Linked DNA regions of Arabidopsis thaliana. Changing the gene in region 2 together with the main gene of any one other region gives a genetic interaction. Each region holds a gene or a part of one and is shown on either strand. Other genes may lie near its edges. The genes, in order: AT5G45190 and CDKC2.

Evidence for each region.
Region 1: of CDKC2 (region 2) and AT5G45190, changing one enhances a phenotype caused by changing the other (phenotypic enhancement), as found in Arabidopsis thaliana (one study listed by BioGRID).

The regions. Positions count from the first base shown.
Region 1 is NC_003076.8:18,277,000-18,283,523, reverse strand, and holds AT5G45190 (Cyclin family protein), read left to right. Parts: upstream 1-1,649; 5' UTR 1,650-1,806; intron 1,807-2,758; 5' UTR 2,759-2,790; coding exon 2,791-3,015; coding exon of another isoform or gene 3,016-3,017; intron 3,018-3,080; coding exon 3,081-3,104; intron 3,105-3,206; coding exon 3,207-3,224; intron 3,225-3,445; coding exon of another isoform or gene 3,446-3,452; coding exon 3,453-3,527; intron 3,528-3,867; coding exon 3,868-4,002; intron 4,003-4,228; coding exon 4,229-4,404; intron 4,405-4,493; coding exon 4,494-4,645; intron 4,646-4,748; coding exon 4,749-5,716; 3' UTR 5,717-5,904; downstream 5,905-6,524.
Region 2 is NC_003076.8:25,953,400-25,959,607, forward strand, and holds CDKC2 (cyclin dependent kinase group C2), read left to right. Parts: upstream 1-1,974; 5' UTR 1,975-2,097; coding exon 2,098-2,210; intron 2,211-2,606; coding exon 2,607-2,688; exon of another isoform or gene 2,689-2,750; coding exon of another isoform or gene 2,751-2,786; coding exon 2,787-2,877; intron 2,878-2,982; coding exon 2,983-3,012; intron 3,013-3,125; coding exon 3,126-3,235; intron 3,236-3,326; coding exon 3,327-3,399; intron 3,400-3,481; coding exon 3,482-3,602; intron 3,603-3,709; coding exon 3,710-3,827; intron 3,828-3,925; coding exon 3,926-4,065; intron 4,066-4,158; coding exon 4,159-4,216; intron 4,217-4,299; coding exon 4,300-4,370; intron 4,371-4,493; coding exon 4,494-5,028; 3' UTR 5,029-5,406; coding exon of another isoform or gene 5,407-5,484; 3' UTR 5,485-5,492; intron 5,493-5,567; downstream 5,568-6,208. Other genes in the region: AT5G64950 (Mitochondrial transcription termination factor family protein), read left to right, coding at 488-1,663; AT5G64970 (Mitochondrial substrate carrier family protein), read right to left, coding at 5,407-5,484, 5,574-6,041, 6,129-6,208.

The DNA.
Region 1 (6,524 bases), 7.7 Mb from region 2:
TTCACTTTCTTTGGGAATCTCGCGAGTTAATTTACAAGATCACATGTCTCAATGTATCGTAGGGTTTCTGTGTTTTTTTTTTTTTTTTTTCTTTTTCCTGTTGGGAAGGGTTTCTTGTTTTTTTTGCTAAGCTTATTATTTTTCTTTCTAATTTAATTTAGGATCCTTTAATTTATAAAGATAAAAAAAAATTAAATTGTTTGTTATGGAGTGTTTATCTAAATTAGTTTATAATGGTATAGATAAATATGAAAAAATAAAGATACTTATAAATTTAAAGAAGAAAAAAAAGAAAAACTTTAATATAATATTAGATATCCACATATTATTCAGATTTTACTAGGTTTTTTCGAGTTTACCCACTAAACCCGAAACCTATCGGATTTTTTGTGGGCATATTAAATTCGGGTTCGAGTCGGATTAGTTATATTTTGTCAAAAATGTATAATTGTTTGCAAAATGTAACCAAATTTAATTAATTGAAACCATTTTTATTAAAATTGAACAACTTGTAGGTTTTTTCCGACCATTCCAAATCTTACACCTACCCGAACCGAATAATCATAAAACCCCAATGGATAATAGTCTCTTCTTCTACCAGAAATATCCAAATCCAAAAAAAATCAAATCTGATCAAAGTTTCTAAAGCATAAGCCTAGACACAACTTCAATGAATTTCATAAATTTTAAGAAATTATATTTACATTGATATAATCTAATTCTTTTTTTTAAAGCATAAGCCTAGACACAACTTCAATGAATTTCATAAATTTTAAGAAATTATATTTACATTGATATAATCTAATTCTTTTTTTTAAACTACTAAAATATACATATTTATTAGTTTGAAAAATGAAAAATTGAAAAATGAGTGTGGGGCACGTGCCTCACCTCTCCTCTACCTACATCTGCCCCATGTTATAACTCTAATCTCAATATTCTCTCTAAATATTTTTAAATAACGTAATTTTTTTTGTTGTTTACTAAATAACTACTACAGTATACTATGTGATTTAAACTATAAATATTGCTAACTTGTCATAAATGTTTTACACAAACATATATATACTTAATTCTCATTCATCTTCGATACTATTGAATATTTTATTATAATCTTTATCTATACATCTCACCATTTTATATGTTTAGTTGACATCCAAATTTTGGAGTTATTTTAACAAAACAAAAGAAAAAAACAAAACTTTTGACAAAATACACAAAAAAAACATATTTGAAGAAATTTTTATATTTTTTCAAAAGCTTTAGTAGATAATTAAAATTTAATTTGTGATATATGTATATATTGTGATTTACGTATATCGCGGTCATTTTGAGTTAACAACTTTAAAAAATTTACTTTAAATAATAAAAATTATAAAGTCGCATTTTTATAACCTAGGCCTATATAAAATATAATAAGCTTTTAATATTTATTTTATCTCTTGATTTCTAATTCCTAATAACTGTTTCCTATTTTCTTTTTCTTTTTCTTTTTTTTTCCGTCGATTTTCTTTTTGTTCTTATCACATTTCAAAAAACAAATGTTAAAGATATCAATAAAGACGATTAGTGATTAGCTTATGAATTTATTTATATTCTTTTAATGTGAAAAAAGGGAAAGAAGTGAATCTGGTCTCAGCTTTTAATATCACAACTCTTTAGAATACTTCCTATCCCCTTTTTCTTCTTCTTCCCTCTTTCGTTTTCTCGCGACTCTCTAGGGTTAGGGTTTGTTGATTTTCACGCGTTATTCTTCATCTTCTTCTGCAATTCGCAACTAGAGAAGCTAATTCCATTGAAGTTAAGGTAAAGTATCCATCTTTTTGTTTCCCTCCCTCGTTCAATTACTGTCTTAAATTCTCGTTGATTTCCTTTATCCTCTCGATTTGGGTATTCTTTTTTGTCCACCGTCAAGTGAATCTCTCAACGAATTTTTCCATCTTCCGGTTAATTTCTATAGAAACCCTTTGGATCTGTTTTTTTCCTGCTCAATTACTAATTTTCTAGGTATCGTTTCGTGTTTTGAGAAAATTTTGGGATTTTGATCGAATGTATCTAATTGGTGATGAATTTTTAGCCTAATCAAGTTGTTACCACAAGTTCGATTCCATGATTTGCAATTCGTAAAGGTTCATCCTTTGCATGATTCATGTTCATAGCTTGTAGAAGATTTATCCCCTTTGACTCTCGTTTTAGACTATGTGGTTATGTTTCCTTGAAGCCATGTCACTAGTCTCTTCCCCGTTGTGCCCTTCCGTGTAGCTAATTTCTTATTCAAAGCCAAAGTTCGAATGCGGGTATAAAAAACATAGCTATCTACTTTTTCTGATGATCTCTTATCCTATCTAGTGTCGAGTATCAGACTTATTACCATTGTAAAGAGATGCCCCATTTTGGTCCGCTGCTTTTGCTAGGTTGCACAGATTGTTATAAAGTGAAGCAAATTTTGGTTCTTTGCTGTCATTTTGCTACTCTGCTTTACGACACTAATCATGAATCAGTATCTCCCCCTTTGTGCCCTTCTGTGTACTGTTAGAAACCTCAGTTGATTCCTGTTCTTAGAGTTTTCTAAATGCTTATAAGATTATCTGTTATTCAAAGATACGGTTTTAATGCAATTACAAAGATCATAGCTTCGTTTGTTGGGGAATCGATCTGGTTTTTCTTATGTTCTCTTTAATTGTCCTTTCTAGTGTTGAGTTTCAGGCTTATTATTATTTGTAAAGTGATGCACATTTTGGTTCTCTGCTTTTGTTAGGTGGGGATAATTTTTGGTTTTAGAAGATACTAATGGCTGGAGTACTAGCTGGGGAATGTTCTTACAGTGAGAGTGGAGTTTCATCACACTCAAGGAATTCCCATGAAAAGCAAGAAGAGGTTTCCCGCTGGTATTTTGGAAGAAAAGAAATAGAAGAGAATTCACCGTCAAGGTTGGATGGTATTGACTTAAAGAAGGAAACATACCTCCGCAAATCCTACTGTACATTTTTGCAGGACTTGGGCATGAGATTGAAAGTGTAAGTTCTCTATCACCTCATCTTAGATTTCTTTCTGTGCATTGTTCCTTTAACTGCTTCAAGTTGGCTTGGTTTCTTGACATTATAGTTCGTCCAATCCGTCCCATCATCATTGTGGACAGATAATAGTTACCCCTTTACATATAGGTTTCGTTTAATTGGAATTTGATGTGCTGCTGATGGTTTTAGGCATACGTTTGTACTGATGTTAGTTCTAGCACCTTTAAACGGAAAGTTGTAGAAGTTGTGTTTATTTTATCTCAATTTTTCTTTCTTTGGCATGAATACAAGGAAGAGACAGTTATTAGTGGTGAAGACATAACTGCCACACTGTCTTAATTTTGCTTTTGTAGTCATGGTTTCTGCATTGTTCAGAGATTTCAATTTTTGGCTCTCTTGGAAAGTCGCTGATATAGTTTTCCAATCAGTCCCCAGGTTACAATAGCTACAGCGATAATCTTCTGTCATCGATTCTTCTTTCGCCAATCACATGCAAAGAATGACAGAAGGGTGAGTTTATTGTTTTGCACCTGAACAAGTTGAATGCTTAAAAAAAAATGACTCTATTCTGTGTTGTTTGAACCACTATGCTGTAGTCTGGCTAGTATTTAAGGTATTGAAATGTATTGGTTTTATATATAGTGGATCCATCTCCTTGCCATTTTTCATGGTATTTATAGAGAGCTCATTATTGTAGTTTCATTTATAGTTTCGCTACCACTTTGATTTAGATTTTTCTTTTTTACTTATTCTATGCAGAATTAGTGAATTGTGATTGTTGTTATTTCTTCTAGAGCGGAAAAAAATACTCGGATCTTTACTGAGCTCTCTCTTCATGTTGTTTCTGCAGACCATTGCAACTGTATGCATGTTCCTTGCTGGAAAGGTTGAGGAAACTCCACGGCCCTTGAAAGATGTTATTTTTGTCTCCTATGAGATTATAAACAAGAAGGATCCTGGTGCTTCCCAGAAAATCAAGCAAAAGGTATTCCATCTTACTACTGAATCTTCCTAATTTCTCACCTCTGTTTTACTAGTTATAGATGAACGTATCATTTTTTCCCCATATCTTTTGTTTTATTTGACATTGAGGTTTTAGTATTAGCTACAGACTTTGCTTCGTTGTTTTGTAGAACCATGGTCCTTTGGTCCTGATTTATTGTCTGTTGGTCAGCATATCAAAATGTATTTGACCTATATCACTTTTTCAGGAAGTATATGAGCAACAAAAAGAGCTTATATTAAACGGAGAAAAAATTGTTCTTTCCACTCTAGGCTTTGACCTCAATGTTTATCATCCTTATAAACCCCTGGTAGAAGCAATAAAGAAATTTAAGGTTGCACAGAATGCACTTGCCCAAGTTGCATGGAATTTTGTTAATGATGGGTACGTTCAAGAACTATTTCCTTCTAAAGCTTCCAATAATTCTATGTGCCTTGTATTTTCGTCTTCATACAATGAAAAGTGGCTTGCAGTCTACGGACATCTCTCTGCCTGCAATTTAAGCCTCATCATATTGCGGCTGGTGCAATATTTCTTGCGGCCAAGTTCCTTAAAGTGAAGTTACCATCAGATGGAGAGAAGGTTTGGTGGCAAGAATTTGATGTCACACCCAGACAACTGGAGGGTATGTACAATATGAATTGACTTGACAATTCTTGTTTCCTTGTTTGACTTCCATTCCCTTTTTCTTTATGATTTCAAGAGTAATCGTCTTTTGTATATCTCAGATGTTAGCAACCAAATGCTTGAGCTTTATGAGCAAAATCGTGTCCCTGCATCTCAAGGAAGTGAAGTCGAGAGTAGTGTAGGTGGAGGGTCAGCTCAGCGACCAGGCTCCAGAAATGCGGTTTCAACCGATGAGCATGTTGGTTCTAGGCAAACGTCATCAGTACGTTCAACCCATGAACAATCAAATTCTGATAATCATGGGGGTTCATCCAAAGGAGTATTGAATCAGAACAATGAGAATGGGGGTGGTGAGGCAGCTAATGTCAGTGTCGATAACAAAGAGGAGATAGAGAGAGAAACAAAAGAAAGCAGCCTACATCTTGAAAGCCATCCAGCCCATAAGGACAATGTGAGAGAAGCCCCCCATAACTCTAGACCTTTAGTTGAGGGACCTGGGAAAGACAACTCAGAAAGAGAGGGTGGAGAGCTACAAGATGATGGTGCTGTTCATAAATCTCGAAATGTTGATGTGGGTGATGCCCTAATCAGCCAATCGCCAAAAGATTTGAAATTGCTTCGAGATAAGGTGAAGGCTAAACGAGAGAAAGCTAAGAAGTTGCTAGGTGAAAGAACGAGGAAAAAGGATTTGATGGATGAGGATGATTTGATTGAAAGAGAACTGGAAGATGTGCAACTAGCTGTTGAGGATGAAAAGACGAAGGAAAGGAAAGTACAGAGCAGGCCAAAGGCGGAGAACTCTGATCTCATGGGTACAGAACATGGTGAGATTTTAGATGTTAAAGGAGAAGTCAAAAATACAGAGGAAGGTGAAATGGTAAACAACAATGTGTCCCCGATGATGCATAGCAGAAAGAGAAAAATGGGAAGCCCTCCTGAAAAGCAGTCAGAAGGAAAGAGACGCCACAATAGTGAGAATGGGGAAGAAAGCCATAAGACGAGCAGAGGTAGTAGCCATCATGGTGATAGAGAGCACAGAAGACACTCACAAGAGAATAACCATTCATAAGAGAGGTAATGATTATTAAAACTGCTACTCTTTGTATTCCATCTAAATGGTCTTTTTAAAAGACCTTTGGCACTTCGATGCCCAACCATGTGAACTTGACTTCTACATGGGTCGGTTCAGTCGTTGGAACCATGCTCTCTGTATTTTATGTTGATTATATATCTATTCGTGGCATTTTTGCACAATCCAACGACTTGAACTAGGACTCATCATCCTAAAAGGATGTTGAGAAGCTAATTAGGTGTTTCTTCCTGTAACCACTCCATGCTAGGGTTCTTTAATTATGCATAATTACCTGCTTTTTTCCATCTAATCTAAACCGGGCTAAGGTTTGATTCTGCTTGGCAACTTCATAGTCACATTTACTTCGTTTCCTTATATTGATGCGCATTGTGAAAAAGTTTCCTCTAGTACGGTAAAATTAGTGTCAGGTCATAGGAAGTAATGTATAGGTTGTGGTTAAGTCCACTTGATAACTTCTTTGTTACTGTACATTGTTGAATTGAGTTTACTTTTGATGCCAAAATATTGTTACGACCAATGTTTTCTTAAGTTATATATGATGTAAAAGAGAGAAACCTTTGTATTGTACGGTATCAAAATGAACTATATGTACTTTTAAGTCTGTCAGATTTTGTTTTCTTCGAAAAGTGATATTTTGTATGACCTATCGGAGAAGTGCCATCTGATTCGGAAGCATAAATACAAAGAAAGCATGTAGAAAGAAAGAACGAAAATAACTAAATATGTAACTCTTCTGTTATCTAGAAAAGAAAGGAAGAGATCTATAGAGTAGAACATTCTGTTC
Region 2 (6,208 bases):
ACTCATTTTTTGGCTTAATTTGTACAGAAGAAATGTATTAAAGCTTCTTCAATCTCCATAAACCCTTTTGTGCATTTCACAGGAGTGTTAACAATTTCACTGGTCTGCAAATAAAATTATCTTATGGAAGCTTGAGAGGCAAGAGATGGTCAACTAGTCAAACCACCACCACTCTCTCATCTCTGTCTTCTTAAAGTTCGATAATAATTTTTGGAGAGGAGACTCTGGTTGTTCATCAACAGAGTGGTCATGAGCCACATGTATTGCTTGTGTATAGAGAGATTTAGAAATTAGGAACTTTTTCGTATAAATATACTCATTGTACTCAGCTACTCACTAGACTCATCTCTGTTTTAGTAATATTTTGAATACTGTATCTCAAATAAATTAATCTTATCAAATAGAAACCATAGTTGAAAAGTCATGAATGATTCTTAACTGTACAAAATAATAAGCTTTGGTAAAACCCTAAACTTTCGTTTCCAAGATGCAATTTCTAGCTTCTCTCGTTTCCAATTCCAGAAAGTTTGGTCGGAGATGGGATCGAGCTCTCTCGTTGCATCATTTCTCTTCGAATGCGACACCAGCTTCGATATCAAATCCAGCGTTCGTCGAGTTTCTCAGGGACAATGGGTTCCAGAAACCTCTAGCAATTGCCATCGCAATGCGTTACCCTAACCTCAAATCCCTAGAACAACCTCGGTCAGTGATTCAAATGCTTAAAAGTTACAGTTTTTCCGATACCCAGATCCAGAAATCGATCCGGGTCCATCCTCGAATGATGTTCTACAACGTGGAGAAAATTCTAGAACCCAAACTTCGATTCTTTAAAGATATTGGATTTACTGGCTCTGGTCTTGGTAAGTTCGTCTCTCAAAACTCATCAGTCGTTGGTGTAAGTCTAGTGAAGAAATTGATTCCTACCGTTGAGATTCTGAAATCGATTGTTGCCCCAAAACATGAAGACCTTCCTGTCATTCTTAGTAGATGTGGTTGGCTTCTTCTCAGTAGAGACCCTAACTTGTTTCTCTTACCAAACATCTCATACCTTGAAACCTGTGGAATTGTTGGGTCTCAGCTTGCTTCTTTACTTAGAAGACAGCCAAGAATCTTCAATCTCTCTGAGGAAAAACTCAGAGGATATGTCTCTCGTGCTTTGGATCTTGGTTTTACTTTGAACTCGAGGATGCTTGTGCACGCTGTTATCTCGTTAAGTTCTTTGAGCGAGAAAACGTTTGATCGAAAGGTTAAGTTGTTTATGGCTAATGGATTCTCTGAAGATGAGATAACAGATATTATACGAAGATCTCCAGGTTTGATCCGGTGCTCAGAAGATAAGCTTACACTGGGGTTTGAGTTTTACTTGAAGAGAATGGGGTTAGAGAGGGAAGCTTTGGCGAAACGTCCTTGTGTGTTGTCGTATAATCTTGAGAAGAGGGTGATTCCTAGGCTTAAAGTTTTGCAGATCTTGAGGGAAAAAGGGTTGTTGTTAAAAGAGGAGAAGAAGAAGAAGAACATGGTTGGCATTGTTGAGATGACTGAGGAAGCTTTTCTAGAGAAATATGTTGTGAGATTTGGAGATGAGATTGCTGAGGAACTGCTGGTTGCTTACAAGTGCGTGTGTTTAGTCGATGAAACGCTACTTGATCGTATCAAGATCTAATTGTAGATTTCACAAGTCCAAACTTGAAATTTTGTCATTGTATCCAAACTTCGCTCATCCGTAACTGTGTTGAACATTATAATTTGGAAGTAACTCTTAAATCACCCTTTATTACGAGCTTGAAGCTTCTCATATAATAATGGGATTCATATGAAGCGATTCTTTTTCTATTTCAGCACTTGAGCAAAAACTCAAGATTGTCAAAGCGTCTTAAAAATTTGACTCATGAATTTAACCGGTTTGATTTTGGTTCGTTGTAATAACCGGTTTAAACCAGAGATTGATTCCGGATAAAAAAGCTTAGGTTTTTCCGCGAAGCCGACACTGTAAGGTAGGGCTAAAACCTTAGAATAGCCGGAGAGAAGAAGGCGAGAAGAGGAGCGACAAGGGCGAAGCTGCAGAATTCTTCGGTAATTTTCAGATTCGGTTGAATAATGGCGGCTGCGGCTTTTGGGCAGTTAAATCTAGAGGAGCCTCCACCGATTTGGGGATCTCGTAGTGTCGATTGCTTCGAGAAGCTTGAACAGATTGGTGAAGGAACTTACGGGTATTCTTCTCCATTCTTTTTTTTTCTGGGTTTTGTTCCTTGATTCCAATTTATTTGGTTTTGTCAGAGTACTCGTGCTCAAGACTGAAATTTCTCAAATTTGAACGATTTCGCTAGGGCCACTTGATATATAAGTTTTTTTGAAACAATTTTGATTGTGAAACGTTTATATATAGTTATTGATCCATATATTGTTGATTTGAGGAATTTTAACTTTGCCTCTTATCTCAATAAATTCGATTTTGTTGATTGAATTTGGGAATTCTCAGATTCTTGGTATGGTAGATATATATATATATATATATATATATATATATATATATATGTTGCAATAAACTTCTGAAGCTGTCTCTTTTGATGGTGTTTAGATTCATATATTAAAATTTGGTTTTGCAGCCAAGTGTACATGGCTAAAGAAATTAAAACTGGTGAAATCGTGGCTCTGAAAAAGATCCGTATGGACAATGAAAGAGAAGGGGTAAGCTACATTTGAACTACCAGTACTAGCTTTGACAAGTTGCAAATTTTTGTGAGTTTCGTATGACTTATATTTCCGTTTTCATTGTTTGCATGGAGTTTCCGATAACCGCTATCCGGGAGATCAAAATTCTGAAGAAGCTGCATCATGAAAATGTCATCCATTTGAAAGAGATTGTTACTTCTCCAGGTAATAAGGAACTCTTATCTTAGCTTGTAATTGCTTTAGAAATTTTGTCAAAAGGGGTGTTAAGTTTGATATGTAGAGTTTTGTGACTGTTTTTGTCTTTAAAAGGTCGAGATAGGGATGATCAAGGAAAGCCAGGTTAGTGAAACTTATTCAAGATCGAAATATTTTCTGTACAACTTAGATGCGACTATGAGAGATCTATTTAAACTGCTTACGGCCTAAAGCTTGTTGCTTTTCTTCAATTTTAGATAATAACAAATACAAGGGTGGAATCTACATGGTCTTTGAGTACATGGATCATGACTTGACTGGACTTGCTGATCGTCCTGGACTGAGATTTACGGTTCCTCAGATAAAGGTATTGCATGGCTAGACACCTTGTTGTAGTAGCCTTTGCAAAAACCCTTATTGTTCCGACTTTGTCTGACATTTGAACATATGTAAAAAAGTGTTACATGAAGCAACTGCTGACTGGGCTTCACTATTGTCATGTGAATCAAGTGCTTCACCGTGATATAAAAGGTGAATATATCCCAAAATACATTGTTGACCATTTTGTTCTCTTGTCTTTATTTGCTAGTTAACCTATAATATATTGGTGCAGGTTCGAATCTACTTATTGACAATGAGGGAAATTTAAAGCTAGCGGATTTTGGGCTTGCTCGGTCATATTCTCATGATCATACTGGAAACCTCACAAATCGTGTCATCACTTTGTGGTATAGGTATGTATGCCTACAAACTTTGAAGTTATATACAAAAAAGTGACAAAGAATAAGTATTGCTTATACGTGCAGCTTTTTCTCTACTTATGCATTGTTTATTGCTGTAGGCCCCCTGAATTGTTACTTGGTGCAACTAAATATGGACCAGCGATTGACATGTGGTCAGTTGGATGCATATTTGCTGAACTTTTGAATGGAAAACCAATCTTGCCTGGGAAAACTGAGGTCAGGATTTCATCTTATGATTATCGTGGTGTGTGTTATTACAGTGTTCTTTGATGATGTTTCCACTTAGCGTTTTAGTCATATTTTTTTCTTTCCAGAATGAACAATTGAATAAGATTTATGAGCTTTGTGGATCACCTGATGAAAGCAACTGGCCTGGAGTTTCCAAGATGCCTTGGTATAACCAAATGAAATCATCTCGGCCCTTAAAGAGACGCGTAAGGGAGATCTACAGACAGTAAGTATAAACCATTATGTAGTTGCGACTCTTTTATGCAACAGTTACTTTGATCCAGGAGATCTCATTTGGTCCTTTTCTCTTCTGCTATAGCTTTGATCGCCATGCCCTTGAACTACTTGAGAAAATGTTGGTACTTGACCCATCTCAGGTACCAAAGAATTTTTAATACAGAGAATTAAGAGCCTTGGTCTAGACATTTAAGTCCTTTCATTTTCCTGTCTGTTGGTACAGAGAATATGCGCAAAGGATGCTCTTGATGCTGAGTACTTTTGGACTGATCCGCTGCCATGTGATCCAAAGAGGTAATCAAATTCTCTTAACTTTCTTGTTATGAAAACCCATTTGGTTCATCATACATCACAAATGACGATCAAGAACAATTAGTGAGTGATTCAGCTTGTACTGAAACTGTGTTATGTCAACAGTCTACCGACATATGAATCATCACATGAGTTCCAGACAAAGAAAAAACGGCAACAGATGCGTCATAATGAGGAAGCAGCCAAAAAACAGAAACTGCAGCATCCACAGCAGCAACATTCTCGTTTACCTCCACAGCAACACGGTGTTGGCCAGTCTCATGCCGCTCCACTTTGGCCTGCTGGACCAAACCACCCTATGAACAACAACGCACCACCACCCCAAATACCTGCTGGTGGCCATTACTATGGAGGAAAGCCCCGTGGTGGTGCACCTGTTCCAAACCGGTACCCTCCTAGCGGAAACCAGACTGGTGGTTATAATAATCAGAGCCGTGGAGGTTACAGCAGCGGAGCATATCCTCCACAAGGTCGTGGTGCACCATATGGCGCCGGTCCTAGAGGACCTAGCGGTGGCTATGGTGTTGGACCACCCAACTACTCACAAGGTGGTGGTCAGTATGGTGGATCTGGTGGCTCTGGAAGAGGTCAGAACCCTATGGGTGGTGCTAGAAACCAACAATATGGATGGCAACCGTAAAGAGAACTCAAAGAGACTCGTATGGTGTGGTCTTGGCTTGATGTCTTTAAGGCAGTTGTGATTTTAGATATGAAGACTTATCTTCGCGAAAGAGAATCTATTTTCATTTGATTTCTTGTCTTAATGGCATTCTTCCAAACATTCTGTGATTGTTGTATGTTTAAATCAAGGTTTATATATCAGAACACAGGAAACCAAATTGGATTTTTACCCAAATCTTATTATTTCTTGCAAAAAAACGTTTCACAACCTCTTATCTGTTTTCGATGAAGTGTGGAAAAACTACACGAATCAGTGTAAACCCCAAAAAGAAAACGAAAAAACTCTCCTCTGAAGCAGCTCCAGCAGTAATTGTGTCATTTCTCATTGCTTATTGTCTTATGCGGATGATTCTACTTTCAGAACAACTTTCATGAACTCGTAAACAAAGTAACTGATTGCCGCGGAAGGCAAAACCTGCAATAGTGAGATAATTCACAAAGCTGTAAAACCTGCAATAAGCTGGTTCAAGAGATTAATTTATGACTAGTATTAAGGAATCAAACCTGCAATAAGCTGGGAATCAAGCCAGCATATAGAGCAGGAACACCTCCTTGTTCAATGATCTTCACACAAGTAGCCACTGCGCTTAACCTTTTAGCATGTGACTGCATTTGTAAACGCCTTCTCACAACTTCAAACGGATATGTTGCTGCTTCTGAGCAAGCCCCTGCGATTGCTCCATATAACAAAGTTCTCATGGGACCAAGCTCGAGTTGATCGAAAGCATTAAGTTCTTCACCTTCTTGCTTCATGTGTTCAAGCCGTTTCTTACCTTCCGGTGTATGAAGGTAAGCTGATTTTAAAATATCATAGACACCGTAGAACACAGCTCCCGATGGAGCCATACTAACAAGTGAAGGTACAAGACCTTTGTATAGGGAAAAGAAACCTTCAGTTTGAATCATGTGACGGAATGCACCAACTACACCACCTAATGCTTCTCCACCGGGTGCCACCATAACCGTTCTTATCTGCAATTCAAAACCAAAGTAATGCTAAAGAACCTCCAGAGAATGGTAAAAGAAGCTCAATGAAGTTTTTGTTGTGATTCCACTTACAGTATCAAGTGGTAGACAAAGCAAACTAGCTGTTACTCCGGCAGCTGCACCAGCAACAAACCTCTCGAAATTTGTCGTTT